2 linked regions of the Elephas maximus indicus genome follow. The protein of the gene in region 1 purifies or fractionates together with the protein of each later gene. This does not show direct contact. Links are inferred from orthologs where the notes say so. Each region holds a gene or a part of one and is shown on either strand. Other genes may lie near its edges.

Region 1 (7,707 bases):
TGACTCCTAAGAAAATGACATACAATACCATACTAAAATAAACATATACAGGCAACTATTACAACAGCTTAAACAAGATTTGAAATTAGGTCACTTTTCAAATAAGAATGATTGGCTGCACTCAATATTAAACCATTAAGTCTTATTCTCCTACACAAACTTGAAGAAACTAAAAAACTTAAAACTGAGCTTTTTTAAGTGTTCCTTGAGTTGATTATGTATGAATGACTAATTAAAATGCAATGGGTACTGTAACTCTAAAATTTTAACTGTAAATTTAAAAAGGGGAGGGAGAGCAGTTTAAGTATGAAATGTGATGTAAAACTGTACAAACTGTAGGAAATGTACATCTGAATGTTATTTGGGAAAGTCAGTGTTTGGAAAGTACAGTTATGGAGAAACATTCGGCATCACTTAGTACTCAAAATCTTCAGGTTATGTTAAGTGACTACGGCTCATTCACAAACAAATCCTCTGCAAATGTGCCAAGAGACAGAAGCTTAAAAAACAGCAATAAGAAAAGAAAGCATTTACATCTTTCAGTATGAAGTTAAAGTATCTCCCATGATGGTATGTTAAATTGATAAACTATCACTTAAAAAAAAAAAAAAAAACATTAGCACCTAATCCTGATGCTTTGCAATTAAGAGCATACCTAGATTATACTTTGTCAAACTTCAGCGAGGTTTGGATTCCTTCTTCTACTGGAATTCTCAGAATGAAGTGTGTCAACCAATCCCATGAGCATCATTATCACCTGTCGCTTGTTAGAAATGCAAATTCTCAGGCCCCGCCTTAGAATGACTTAACTCGGGTGGTGGGGCCCAACAAACTCCTTTAACCAGCTCACCTGCTCATATTTGAAAACTACTGTGAAAAGTCTTGATGTTCTAGGCAAAACGAGGTTGAATGCTACATCAAGCCCTCTAGAGATCTAATTACAATTATAAGCTATGTTTACACTTTCTATACAAGGAATAGCAGCAGGTACTGGGAGAGTGGCATAGGGAGCACAAAACTACCAGAAAGACCCACAATTTAGTCATCCCTCTTCCTCTACCTAGCCCAACATGAAAATGTTACTAATGTCTATCTAGTTGAGAACACATCTATATTTTGTTTCAGATTTTAATTCTGTGGCCAAATACTTTCTAAAGGATATGAACTCAAAGGAATTTTTGTTAGCTTGGTACATGAAGATGCTAAGAAACCCTTACTTCTGACACCTCAAGTCAAGACAAGTGTCCTTCAATTAATTTCAACTCTTAACAATAACCTTTCTAAAACGTTAAAAATTCCTGAGATTTCATTTGCCAACAGTACTTTTATCAGAGTTCCTAAATTAATCAATCACTGGCCTTATCTTATTTCTGACAGTTCAGCAAAGTGATAAACTTTAGTCTAAGCCCATGTATAATGTAAATTCTTAGGCATTTTTACAAAATGCTTTTGATCCCATGTAACCCTATTATAGAATTTTCAGTATTTACATGGTGAGGAATCTGCAAATGCACATCTATCTGGAATAAGACTATTTTTACTTTCCAACAAATAGGTTTCCTGAGAGATGAATTTCTTACCCTTCGATATTGGTTAAAAGTGTACTTAACATTAGTTTTTCTGTGAGTTAAACATTTTGACTAAATCAACTCAATCTTACACAAAGATAAACGATTTTCTGGGTAAGTGAATGGGATACTTAAAAATCTGCCACTTCTATAAACTTAGTAAATTTTTCAAATACTGTTTCAGCACCTAGCAAATCGCAGGCACTACAATACTTGCTTAATAAAAAGTATTAATGGTGCATTTTTGCCACAAAAGTTTAGATGGATAGAAAAATGAATACCAAAATATCCTGGAAGTCGAATTTTAAGTTTGTCATCTTAGGAAGTTACATTAATTACAAATCCAATTCTCGTAATTAAATATTTTTCTCAAGTGCAGTTTGGAATTTACAACTCCCTACCAATAGACTTTGTAATGTGGTTCTTATAAAGATTCAAATATAGTACTGTTTAGTAACCAGCATGCCAGTAACTACGTAAAACGACTGACCTAGTAATCAAATTCCTTACAAGTACTAGTTTCACTACTGATTTAACGACCCTGCCAACGCTCTTATGCCTGTTTCTCTGAGAAAAACAGTAATACCTACCTCAAGCAAAGTTCCACTAACTTATGTATTTCAAGTCAATTGTAACCTGCAGATAAAAAGTAGTAAATCAGCTGTAATTATTACTGTTATTGTTAATTCGATTTTCTTTTGTAAATAGAATCGAAAGTAACTACTTCAAGGTCCATCATGTGTTCACAGGGAGTAGTAAATTAAAAGATAATCAGCAAAAAAATTAAATCTACAGCTATATTCATTATTCTTATCTTATGCCCCGCAACACACTCCAGAATTTGAGACGATCACGGTACAACACCTAATTGGTAACCCTCCCCCACACCACACACACCCAATTTTCTAATTTAAGAGATGGAGATAACAGAAGGCATCCGCACTACATCAAACTTCAACTATACTAATGACCATCTCGATCTTCACTTTCATAGTCTCTCTTGGGAGTCCTCAGAGTCACAGAAAATCAAAAGAAAGCAACCGTTAACATAGAAAGCAAAAAAGAAAAATGACATTTTCTCTGCCGGTCGAGGCCTAGAGGACTGTAGGTGAAATCTACGCAGCGGCTGAGACCTGCAAAACTCCCTCCCGCATAAAACCTAATCCCCCAGGACACATGGAATAAATGGGGGCCTGGTTACCGAAGGAAGGGTTCCCTCGTCTCTTTTCCCACACCCCCTCGCGCTCCTCGAGGAACCCAGTGTCACCACTGCGGCCGCCGCCTCCACTTACCAGGAGGGGGTTGGGAGAAGAGATTCGATTATCAATCTCCTACTCCCAGATTCTACGTGAAGAAGCCGACTGCTGCTCGAGGTCGGCAACGCGGCCGCAACCGCTCTGTCTTCGCCTCTTCACAAAATGGCCCCCGAGTCTCCTCTGCCGCGGAGGCGAAGACCTAGCCCCCGCCTCACTTCTAGGAACCTTCTTATTGGCTGTTCCCTGTCTCGCTCCCTCTCCTAATAAGACATTTCTACTGCTCTTCACAATTCTATCCAATCACAACTTGCAGTGGGTTAGACCGAGCAAGAGAATTTCCACATGCGTGAGCGAAACTACTTTGTAACTGGTTACTTTTCCTGTCATTTATCACTTGAGGCATGCTTATTGGCCACTGTACCGCCGGGTGGAAACTCGCCTTTGTATCGCGCACCGCTTCACATCCGGGTATCCGGCAAGTTTGATTGACGGTCTCAGTATCCTATCGCAGTCTCCTAGAGCGCCCAGTAAAAGGCCCGCCCAGATCTCCGAGTTCCCGGGCGCGGGGGCGGAGTAGGGGTGAGGGGCGTAGTCAGGTAGCTGGCGCGAACGGCAAGCTTTCCTCGGTGGCTCCGCCTTGCACGGCAAATCTACCGTAGCCCCGGGCCTAGGAAAAAGAAAAACACCAAGTGAAGCTTCCCTCGCGTGTGTGGCTAAAGGGCGTTTTCTAGAGTGAAAAGGAGCCGTGATGACTAGGCTGTGGTAAAGTGTGTAGAAAACTAATCAGTCCTGCTCGCCTGCAGGTTTCTCCCAACCGCAATCTCAGTACCAGATTGGAATTTCAGCTGCCTCAAGGACATCTCCACGTCTCAGCCCATCAAGCCCTTGTTCGGACGACGCATACCAGTACCAGTTGCCATCAAGTCCTGACTCATGGCGACGCCATGTGTTACAGTTGCCTTCCATAGGGTTTTCAAGACTGAGCTTTTGGAAACAGATCGCCAGGCCTTTCTTCTGTGGCATCTCTAGGTGGGTTCCAACCGCCAACCTTATGGTTGGAGCACTTAGGCTTTCGCACCAAACACCCTCCCAAGCCAGCTGACTTCTTAATTTCTCTCCAATACATCAAGCAAGTGAAGTGTAAAATGCTGGCCTGGGATACTAGAGCACCCATCTCTGTCCCCAAGCCTTATCTCACTAATAATAGCCTGCGTGTAAACCAAATTAGCCTACTCCTCTGTCTCTTTGGGAAACCCTGGTGGTGTAGTGGTTAAGTGCTACGGCTGCTAACCAAGAAGTTGACAGTTCAAATCCGCCAGGCGCTCCTTGGAAACCCTATAGGGCAGTTCTACTCTGTTCTATAGGGTCGCCATGAGTCCGAATCCGAATCGACTCGATGGCAGTGGGTTTGGTTTTTTTTTTTTTGGGTCTGGCTGTTTGAGTAACTGGTCTCTTAATAACCCTCATCCTATTTTACGCCCACCCCCCCCCCCCCATTGCCTGCCGCCTGACTAAATTATAGCAGCCAGGCACACAATGGAGTAGGACTACTAAAACAGGGAGATTTGTATGTGCTGTTAGGGAAGGATCATATTTCTGTTATTTATTGGAAAAAGCAAGATACAGAAAACTGTCTAGATGAGTGATTCTATTTGTATACATTTTAAAGGGATACATAAAAAAAAATTTTTTTTTTTATATCTGTGTAGATGCTGTTTCATACATTAGTTTTGAATTCTGAATTCAGAGAAATTTACAGGAAAGTTAGCTGTTACGTTTGGGGAAAGAAACTTGTTTACCTTTTTCATTGATCTCCCTTTGTATACAATTTGAATGTTTTACCATATGCACGTATTACTTTAAGCTAGTTAGAAAATCAAAAATAAAAGCCATGAAAGAAAAAATACACTAAAACGTTAATAGTGGTTCTCTCCTGGTGGGATAATTACATGTGATTTTTTTTTTTACTTGTGCTTTTCTATATTTTCCAAATTGTCTAGTTTGAACAAAAAATCAAGGGAAAAATCCTACAAGTGCTTAAAGCCTCAGTTCAATTGTCACATTGAAATTTATCTAAAACTCTGAGGTACTGTAGTTAATTTTACACTTGTCTGTTCTTCTTGTTGGGTGGTAACCTTTTTTAATGGCAGGGTTTAATTCTTACTCCTCTCTGTAGTCCACCTTGCTTACTACTTGTCACAATGCCTTAAACAGAAAGTGTTTAAATATGTATTAATTTAATTACCTTTTATTAAAAAAAAATTATTATTTTTTATTTTTTTTTTATTAAGGAGGGGGAAATTGCTATTTTCCCAGGACAAGCAGGTAGACTGTCCTCTCTCTTACATATCTTATCTAGCACTCACTCAGAGGGGCCCAGAGGCTTTGAGCCCTGTAAACCAAACCAAACCAAACCCAACCCGTTGCCATAGAGTCGATTCCGACCCATAGCAACTGACTCATAGGACAGAGTAGAACTGCCCCCATAGAGTTTCCAAGGAGCATCTGGCGGATTCGAACTACTAACCCTTTGGTTAGCAGGCATAGCATTTAACTGTTACACCACCAGGATATGACACGTAAATCATGTAATTTGACTTAAGTAAACAAACAAACAAAAAAGCACTAACGTGTTTTATTACTCGTTTTTCTCAAAAAAAAAGTTTATGTTAATAAAAACTACCTATTTTTATTTTTTACCAGATATCAGTTTTATTGCATGATCTTTGTCATGACCTACTTATTAACCAGCACTGTATATGGTGCAAAAGAGGTGCTTAGGAGACAGCATGCATGTTTTCAAGGAGTTTACCCCATGCTAGGTAGAGTGGAAATGGCAGATACAAGAAGAATTAATAGCCAGTCCTTCCATCGAGTAACTTAGAATTTACTAGGAATGAGAAAACAAGTGCAAAAATAGCACAGTACAAGGCAGAATGTTAACTGCCAAATATGATGACAAATATTCATGACTTTGGTTTTTGGTGCTCTTAAACCTAGGCAAGTAAGGTAGAGAGCAGGGAATTGCCTTGACCCCTTGTGCTGACTCTAAACACCCTCACAGTTAAAAGCTTCTAAAGTTAAATGCTCCTGTTGGGTAGCTGTGTATACTTTTCTATTCTATACTCCAGAATAGTTCCACACTTCAGCAGTGGAAGGAGAGAAAAGAGGTAAGGCAACAGAGAAGCAGTAAGTCCTTATCTTGGTCTAAAGAGAAGTCAAAACAAAACTGAACTTTTGTTTCTACTTCAAGAAATAATTTTGTTCAAAGAAAGCTTCAAGTGGCTTAGATGTATTACCAGAATAATACATATTCCCTCTCCCCACTACCAGTTCCAAGCCATTAGTCAAGAAGAAGAAAGGAAAAGCATCAACGGCTATGAAATGCCTAATTTACTTTTTACCTGAGTCGTTAGCTGGATATTGTCCTCAATATCCATCATCCTACACACCCTGAGCCTACCTAGTCACCTATCGCATTCCAGGACAATCATCATTGCCTCTGTTCTTCTATATCTTCCATTGTCCAACAATGTCATAAGCATCTTCCACTGAAGAGTGAGGAGGTAGTCTCCGATGAACTCAGAAAAAGAACGTAATTAAAATTTCACAGAGCTGTCTTATTTTACCCGACACTCTTTATATTTCTTTATTGTAGTTTGGAGGCCTTTCTGACTGTTTGAGGGCATTGGTGATTCAGTGGTAGAATTCTCCCCTTTCATGCAGGAAACCTAGGTTCAACTCCCAGCCAATGCATACCATGTGCAACCACCACCTATCTGTCCGTGGAGGCTTGTGTGTTGCTATGATGCTGAACAGGTTTCAGCAGAGCTGACAGACTAGGACAGACTAGGAGGAAAGGCCTGGAGATCTACCCCTGAAAAGTCAGCCAATGGAAACCCTATGGATCACAACAGTTCCATCTGCAGTCAGTCGTGGGGATGGCACAGGACCAGGCAGCATTTTGTTCTGTCATACATGGGGTCACTGTGAATTGCAGACTATCTTGTTGGCAGCTAACAATAATCTGACTGTTTGCAAGCTATCTTCTACAGGCACCCATATTCTACATGAAAACATGTTGAAGGTATTACACACCACTTTCAAGACCCTTACCTTTGGGTCCCACATTTAGTCTGCCTTCCATACTGATTCTGCAAACTGCTGCCATGGAACTGCTGCCATGGTGATCATCTGGATCATTTTTATTATGTGACTCCCACACCAGAATCCTGTAATAGCTCTACATTCCAATCCTAAATTTATATTGTTTCATTCTGAGCTCTTCCCTGACCGGCCCCTCCTTGATACAGATCAGACTATTGTGATCCATAGGATTTCCACTGGCTGATTTTCAGAAGTAGTTTAGCAGGCCTTTCTTCCTAGTCTGACTGAACCTGGAAGCTCTGGTGAAACCTGCTCAGCATCGTAGCACCATGCAAGCCTCCACTGACAGATGGGCGGCGGCTGTGCATGAAGCGCTTCGGCCCAGAGCGGAACACCAGCCTCCCACATGGAAGGCGAGAATTCTGTTGGACCCGTGGTGCCGCCACCCCTCATTACCAATCAATTTTATCCCCTCTATAAGAACCCTGGCCTAGGCAGGCCCTGCTTTCCTCACTCCAATTTCCCAAGCTATTGTTCTCCTTCCCCATAGTTCAACCATCCTTTAAAACCCAAGTCCCAATTAATTATTTTTATAAGATGTATGATGATTAGTTCAATTGGTTATTTAATTAACCAATAGTTTAAATGTTTACATACTCCAGGCACTGACCTAAACACCAGGTATGTCACAAAACAATATAACATTCTTGGTCTTCAAGCTCTACACCTCTTCTCAAACGCTTTTCGTAGTTATTATTTGCCCTAATACAAGATTG
Region 2 (7,160 bases), on another chromosome or scaffold:
TTCTCAGGAATCTTACAAAGTCTCATAAAAAGACCGACAGGCATGTAATTATAATGTGATAATTGTGCCCAAGGAAGCAGAGCGAACAAATGAAAATGTCTGGTGGGAAAGGCTAAGTAGTAGGTAACTTCAGAATTGAGAATGTGAGTAAAATGTCTGTTTACCAGGAGGCCAGCCAAGCGCCCAGGTAAGAGCCATGAAGTGTTCAGGGCATGGCAAGTACAGTGGGATCAGAGGGTACGCTGAGAGAACGGGGAGAGGCTAGATGACAGGGAGGACCAGGTCATGATGACAGATTGCACTCAGATTTTTATCCTATTGGCTACTGGATTTCAGTGGAATTTTAAAAAACTCTCAGTGTATAGAAAGCAGCTGACACTGAGCTTCTCTGGTTACAGAGGCTGTGATGGTGGTGACGTCCACCTGTGTAGGCTCCTGCTGCCATCTCCCGTAGGCCACCCGTCCATACTGCCCAAGGCCCACGAAAAGAACCCGCGGGAAAACCACGAGGGACACAACCTTTACCTGGGCTTTAATTTTTTCTAATTTTTTGTATCTGTTAGCCCATGACACATAAAAAAATCACTCTCTCATTAATTTTACCTCTGGATCTCCTTCAGACTCTCTTCCCATTGTGCATACTTTATCCAGTTACTAATCACGGTTCTGTTTTTCCTTATGTTATCTTCAAAAGTCTGGAGAAATGCAAAAAGCGTCAAGCTAGAGGGAAGACAGCTAAAAATGATATAATCCTTTGTTTATTAATCCTTGTATTAAAAAAGCCATTCATTCTACTCTTATTTAAGAGAAATGACATCCAGGAATCCTTGAAGAATAAAAAGCCCACTAAAGAAGATAAGAATCACAGGTGTTTCTTTGAAGTCTTATATGCAAAGAAAGTGAAATCTTAGATATAAAGATTAGTGTAATTATTGATATTTTCTCCTGTTGCCTATGACAACTAACTGATACTTCAGCCTATACGTATTCCTAATAAGAAAATGTTTTTGACTATTACCTTTAAGTCTTCTTGGTAACGTCTAAGAACTTCATGTATAACTCATTGAAAATATCTAATAAGCACACATGACAGGCTTAGTGGTTTAAAACAATCCCACATTTTAGGGTGGGAAAGTCAGATCATATCCCAAAGCGTCTTCCTAGCCCTTTCCCAGGTCTTAACTATTAACACAGAAGGTGGCACAGACAGAAGACCAGGATGCAGCCTTACTAGTATGCCCTTCTTGCTAGTACTCCCTTTTACGGCTGCCAGTTGTTTCCATCAGTTAAAATTCCACCTATCTTCAATGTTGTTGTTGTTAGGTGCCGTCAATTTGGTTCCGATTCATAGCGACCCTACAGGTAGAGGAGAACTGCCCCATTTTCCAAGCGGTGACTGGTGGATTTGGAGCGTTGACCTTTTGCTCAGCAGCTGAGCTCTTAACCACTATGCCACCAGGGCTCCATCTTCAATGTAGCACCAAAAATTATCTTTCTGGTGGATTTAATTCCTTTATGCTTTAAAACAGACAACTCATGGCATATTTAGATAGTTTAGCAAAATGCAATTATCTGGTAACCAGAAGTTATATTATTCATATGGCTAGAAACACTAACTTCTTATCTTACAGACTCTCTAATCAATGAGGAGCTTTTAAAATTCTGATCTATAAATTCCTAACAATATTAATAGGCTCTCTGAAATGTAACACATTGACTGACCTTCCTTTTCCTTAGTTTGTAATCGTTTAACTCTTCTTCATCTGTGATCTTCTGTTGAGGTGGAGGTGGAAGAAGCTCAAGTTCTCTTTCTTTAGCTTCTCTTAGGAGCTGCTCAGCAGTTATCTGTACCTCAGCCGGGGCTTTGTTTTTCACCTTTTAAGACAAATGACATTTCTATATAGGTGCTCAAGGTTTACAAAACAAATGAACACTTTTTAGCTTATGATCTTCATAAGCATTATTACAAGACAGCCTGATTATGACATGTTCCCGTTTCTCTATGAGCCTGAAGAGAAAAAAAACCTGTTTTTCTCTTACATTCTGATTCATAGTGACCCTATAGGACAGAATAGAACTCCCCCATAGGGTTTCCAAGACTGTAATCTTTACAGAAATAGACTGCCACATCTTTCTCCTATGGAGTGGTTGGTAGCCTTGAACTGTGACTTTCTGGTTAGCAGCCAAGTGCTTAACCACTGTGCCACCAGGGCTCCTTATTATAACCTCCACTTATGGGATTCTTCAACTTATCTCAATGCCCTTGGTAAAGAACAGTTTGATTTTTAATATTATTTCAAGTCAAAGACAATATTCAGTAAGTTCCCGTCATTAGACTGTGAACTTTGTGAGGTCTTAGAGCTCTGCTGTCCAACATGCTAGTCACAAGCCACCTGTGGGGAGTCCAGATTGAGACTGGAAATTTCGAAGACTTAGTATGAAGGAAAAAAAAAAAAAGTAAACTACCCCACCAAAAATTTTTAATATTACGTGTCGAAATGACAATATTTCGGTACACTGGATTAAACAATTAACATTAATTTCATTTTTGATGTTTTAACGTGGGTACAAGAGTATTGAAAATTATGTAAGTGGCTCGCATTATACTTCCATTGGACGGTGCTCTCTTATACCGACTCTGCTCATTACTGTTTTCTTCGCAGCTCTTTTTACATAAGAGGTGCCCGACAAAAATTTAGGGAATTGAGGCACAAAAAGTATTGAATGCCACATGGGCCTAACCCAGGACAACACTCCCTCGCCCAGGGCAGCGCGGAGGCTGGGCCGGGGGGAATCCCCTTTCCTAGCCCCCCTCCCGCCCGCCCCCCAAAGGCCTCTGGGTAGCAGCGGCTCACCTTAGCCACTTTGGGGATCCGCTGCTTTCCGGCCGCGGTGGAGGCCGCCATGTCTGCAGCCGCGGGCCTCCGGAGACCCCTGAATCCCCGAAGTTGCCTGGAGGGCTGGCCGACACCACCAAAGATTTTTGACAACAAGCAGAACCCCGGAACCGGAAGCGGAACTACCTTGGCTGACCTTTGACTTCTCGCACGCGCCGTGACGCAGGAAGCGCCGTTTCTGTGGTAACGGGATGCGCGTCCGTCCCGGAGCTGGCGGAGGAGCGCGCGCCCTGGGGCTGCTGATGAGGTGGGTAGCGCCGTCCTGACAGGAAGGGACGCGGAGACTGGGCCTAGGGCGTCCGAGGCGCATCCCCATGTCGGACTTCGGGACTGAGATGACAGTGGCAGCGCCGGTGGATTTTGCCAGGCGCCATCGGCTAGCTCCGATTTGGAAGGTCTCAAGGACGGGGAAGAGAGGCCGGCTGAAAACTACCACTCCCAGCATGCCAAGTGGCGACGTGCCGCGTTCCTGGGCGGCCCAGCGCCGCTTTACATTCTGGGTGTTGTAGTCCCTGAGGTTCATTCCCTGTTCGTTTCTGGACAGTTGTGCCCAAGATGAGAGCCTTGGTGGCACAGTGGTTAGGAGCTTGGCAGCTGATCAAACGGTCACCAGTTTGAATCCAGCAGCCGCTCCTGGGAAACCCTATGGGGCAGTTCTACTCTGTCCTGTAGGGTCGCTGTGGGTTGGAATCGACTCGACGGCAACTGTTTGGTTTTGATTTGGAACCCAAATAATTAACTCTAATGCTTAGAAGTTAAAATAATGGAAGACATTTTAAAGCCAGATATTAAAAAAAAAAAAAAAAAGGAATGAAAATCAATTAGCAAAGTGACTAGCAAACCATCCAGCCTCGTGGTCATATAAACCAATGTTTAAATTCTCTGCGAGTGTGCCTCTTAAATCATTTTAGCCTCAAGGTCTTCGACTGTAAAACAAGTATAACAATACCTATTTCACAGGATTAAAAAGAAAACCTGTGTAAAGTGCTTAATAATGCTATCTGGTATAATTATTGACCTGCCTTCAACAACAGAAAAATTAATTCTGTGCAAGCCAAACGGTTAAGAGAATTTTGACAGTTGCAAGTTTCTTTCGGTGTTTTCCAAAATATGTATTTATATATTTATGTAAGTAGTAATTTCAAGCATGTCCTACCTATGCAGATACTGCTTTCAAAAAATGTTTTATGCAGATTTCTTAAATTACAGTTATTATTAACTAACATCAAAATATTTGCCACAGCTTTGTACCACTTACTTATATTACTTAAACATTTTTAAGTTAAAAAACATCAAAATATTTGCCACAGCTTTGTACCACTTACTTATATTACTTAAATATTTTTAAGTTATCTCACATTAAAAAGTTAGAGATTTTATGTCACTATCATAATTTTTTTTATCATAATTTTTTTTATCATAAAAGAAGTCACCTAACAAAATAAAGAAATAGCTATTAAAATAAAAACATGTTTAATGACTTCCCTTCAATTTGTAACTATGCATAGTTGATCTAACAAAGTTAATCACCCCTAATGGCACTGGCACAGTGGTTTAGAGCTGAGCTGCTAACCAAAAGGCTGGCAGTTGGAATCCACCAGCCCCTTCTTAGAAACCCTATGGGGCAGTTCTGCTATGTACTATAGGGTGGCTATGAGTTGGAATCTACTCAATAGCAATGGGTTTGTTTTTTTGGTTTTAGCCTCCTCTCAGAGATACAAACACCTTAAAATGCTTTACTTCCTAATCACCATTCTTTCCTCTCACATGTTTTTTTTGTCTGCTTGTTTAGTACAACCTGGTTTTTAAGCAAAATTATCATTATTATTACTTTTCTTTTTGCCATCAGTGCTTATTTAGCTATACCTGCATGTTACCTTTTTTCTCTCAGCAGTGCATCTTGTATTCCACTCGTTTCTGATTTTAATTTTATTCGTTCTGGAATACATCTTTTACTAGTTCTCTTAACTGGGTTCTTTGAATGGTAACCTCTCTCAAGGTTTTTTTGTATGAAAGTGTCTTTATATCACCTTCATTTTTTAAAACAAGAGTATTTTTTTAAGCAGTTAATCATTAATTGGGCAAAACATAATGAAACTATTTCTCTTGTGGTGCCTGTTTAACTTCTAACATTTTCGTAGGTCGTCAATATTTTCACAGGTGTCTTATTTCTTCCTCATTTTTTTAAAATAATATTTTATTGCGTTTTCAGTGGGAGTTTACATAGCAAATTAGGTTCTCATTTAACGGTTTCTATATTAGTTACATTAGTTCATTAGTTATATTTTTCACAATGTGTCAACATTCTTATTAATTTCGTTTCCAGTAATCTGGTTTCCCTGCCCCCTAACCTCTTCATCTTTGTTTAGAGTGATTGTTGACCATTTGGTCTCATAGATGACTTTTTAAAGGCACCACTATGCCACCAGGGTTTCCTTTTATTTTATGAGCCACTCTGTTTTCCCTCAGGGGATGGTTTCATTTCAAGGCTTAAAGAGTTTCTTAGGGTGCCAGTCTTGGGAATCCTCTAGTCTCAACCAGTCCAGTAAGTTGGGACTTTTTAAAAATTTGGTCTCTGTTCCACATTTTTCTCCTGTTCTCTAAGAATCCATCCATTTGGGCCCTGATAAGAATGACTGGTAGTGGTAACTGGGCACCATGTATTTCTTCTGGTCTCAGGGTAGATGAGACCATGGTTCATGTAGATTGTTAGTCCTGTAGATTAATTTCTTCTTTGAGTCTTTGGTTTCCTTCTTTCTCTTTTGCTCTGGATGAGTAGAGACCAATAGTTGTATCTTACATGGCCACTCACAAGCTTTTTTTTTTAATTTTATTTTGCTTTAAGTGAAAGTTTACAAGTCAAGTCAGCCTCTTATACAAAATTTTATATACACCTTGCTATATACTCCTAGTTGCTCTCCCACTAATGAGACGGCACACTCCTTCCCTCCACTCTCTATTTTTGTGTCCATTTGGTCAGCTTCTGACCCCCTCTGTCCTCCCATCTCCCCTCCAGATGGGAGCTGCCCTCATAGTCTCATGTGTCTACTTGATCCAAGAAGCTCGCTCTTCACCAGTATCATTTTCTATCCCATAGTCCAGTCCAATCCCTGTCTGAAGAGTTGGCTTTGGCAATGGTTCCTGTCTTAGGCTAGAGAAAGCCTGGGGACCATGACCTCCGGAGTCCTTCTAGTCTCAGTCAAACCATTAAGTCTGGTCTTTTTACGAGAATTTGAAGTCTGCATCCCACTGCTCTCCTGCTTCCTCAGGGGTTTTCTGTTGTGTTCCTTGCCAGGGCAGTCATCGATTGTACCCAGGCACCATCTGGTTCTGGTCTCAGGCTGATGTAGTCTCTGGTTTATGTGGCCCTTTCTGTCTCTTGGGCTGGTAATTACCTTGTGTCCGTGGTGTTCTTCATTCTCCTTTGCTCCAGGTGGGTTGAGACCAATTGATGCATGTTAGATGGCTGGTTGCTAGCATTTAAGACCCCAGGTGCCACTCTCCAAAGTGGAATGCAGTATGTTTTCTTAATAGATTTTATTGTGCCAATTGACTTAGATGTCCCCTGGAGCCATGGTCCCCAAACCCCCACCCTATGCTGGACTTCGAAGCGTTCAATTTATTCAGGAAATTTCTTTGCTTTTAGTTTAGTCCAGTTGTGCTGATCTCACCTGTATTGTGTGTTGTCTTTCCCTTCACCTAAAGTAGTTCTTATCTACTATCTAATTAATGAATACCCCTCTCCTACCCTCCCTCCTCTTGTAACCATCAACCAATATTTTCATCTATGCTTAAACTATTTTTTGAGTTCTTGTAATGGTGGTCTTATCCGATATTTGTCCTTTTGGAATTGACTAATATCCCTCAGCATAATGCCTTCCAAATTCCTCCATGTTATGAAATGTTTCACAGATTCATTGTTGTTCTTTATCGATGCATAGTATTCCATTGTGTGAATATACCATAATTTATCTATCCATTGATGGACACCTTGGCTGCATCCATCTTTTTGCTATTGTAAACAGTGCAGCAGTGAACATGAGTGTGCATTTATCTGTTTGTGTGATGGCTACCTGAATGTCTTCTTTAGTGAAGTGCCTGTTCATATCCTTTGCACATTTTTTCATTGAGTTATTTGTCTTTTTGCAGTTGAGTTTTTGTAGTAACATGTAGATTTTAGAGATCAGCTGCTGATCAGAAATGTTATAGCTAAAAACTTTTTCCCAATCTGTGGGTAATATTTTTACTCTTTTGGTAAAGTCT

What was found. Proteins that work in one complex are often made in the same cells at the same time.
Region 2: the proteins of HNRNPC (region 1) and CRNKL1 purify together in Homo sapiens (co-immunoprecipitation; 3 studies listed by BioGRID and IntAct, with this or other methods). This does not show direct contact. The link is inferred for Elephas maximus indicus from reciprocal best matches to the Homo sapiens genes HNRNPC and CRNKL1.

What each region holds. Positions count from the first base shown.
Region 1 is NC_064828.1:31,625,233-31,632,939, forward strand, and holds the start of HNRNPC (heterogeneous nuclear ribonucleoproteins C1/C2), read right to left. Parts: upstream 3,010-7,707; 5' UTR 2,861-3,009; intron 2,205-2,860; 5' UTR 2,159-2,204; intron 1-2,158. UniProt on the Homo sapiens protein: Binds pre-mRNA and nucleates the assembly of 40S hnRNP particles. Interacts with poly-U tracts in the 3'-UTR or 5'-UTR of mRNA and modulates the stability and the level of translation of bound mRNA molecules. Single HNRNPC tetramers bind 230-240 nucleotides.
Region 2 is NC_064843.1:61,128,862-61,136,021, forward strand, and holds the start of CRNKL1 (crooked neck-like protein 1), read right to left. Parts: upstream 3,014-7,160; 5' UTR 2,907-3,013; coding exon 2,856-2,906; intron 1,876-2,855; coding exon 1,723-1,875; intron 696-1,722; coding exon 604-695; intron 1-603. UniProt on the Homo sapiens protein: Involved in pre-mRNA splicing process. As a component of the minor spliceosome, involved in the splicing of U12-type introns in pre-mRNAs.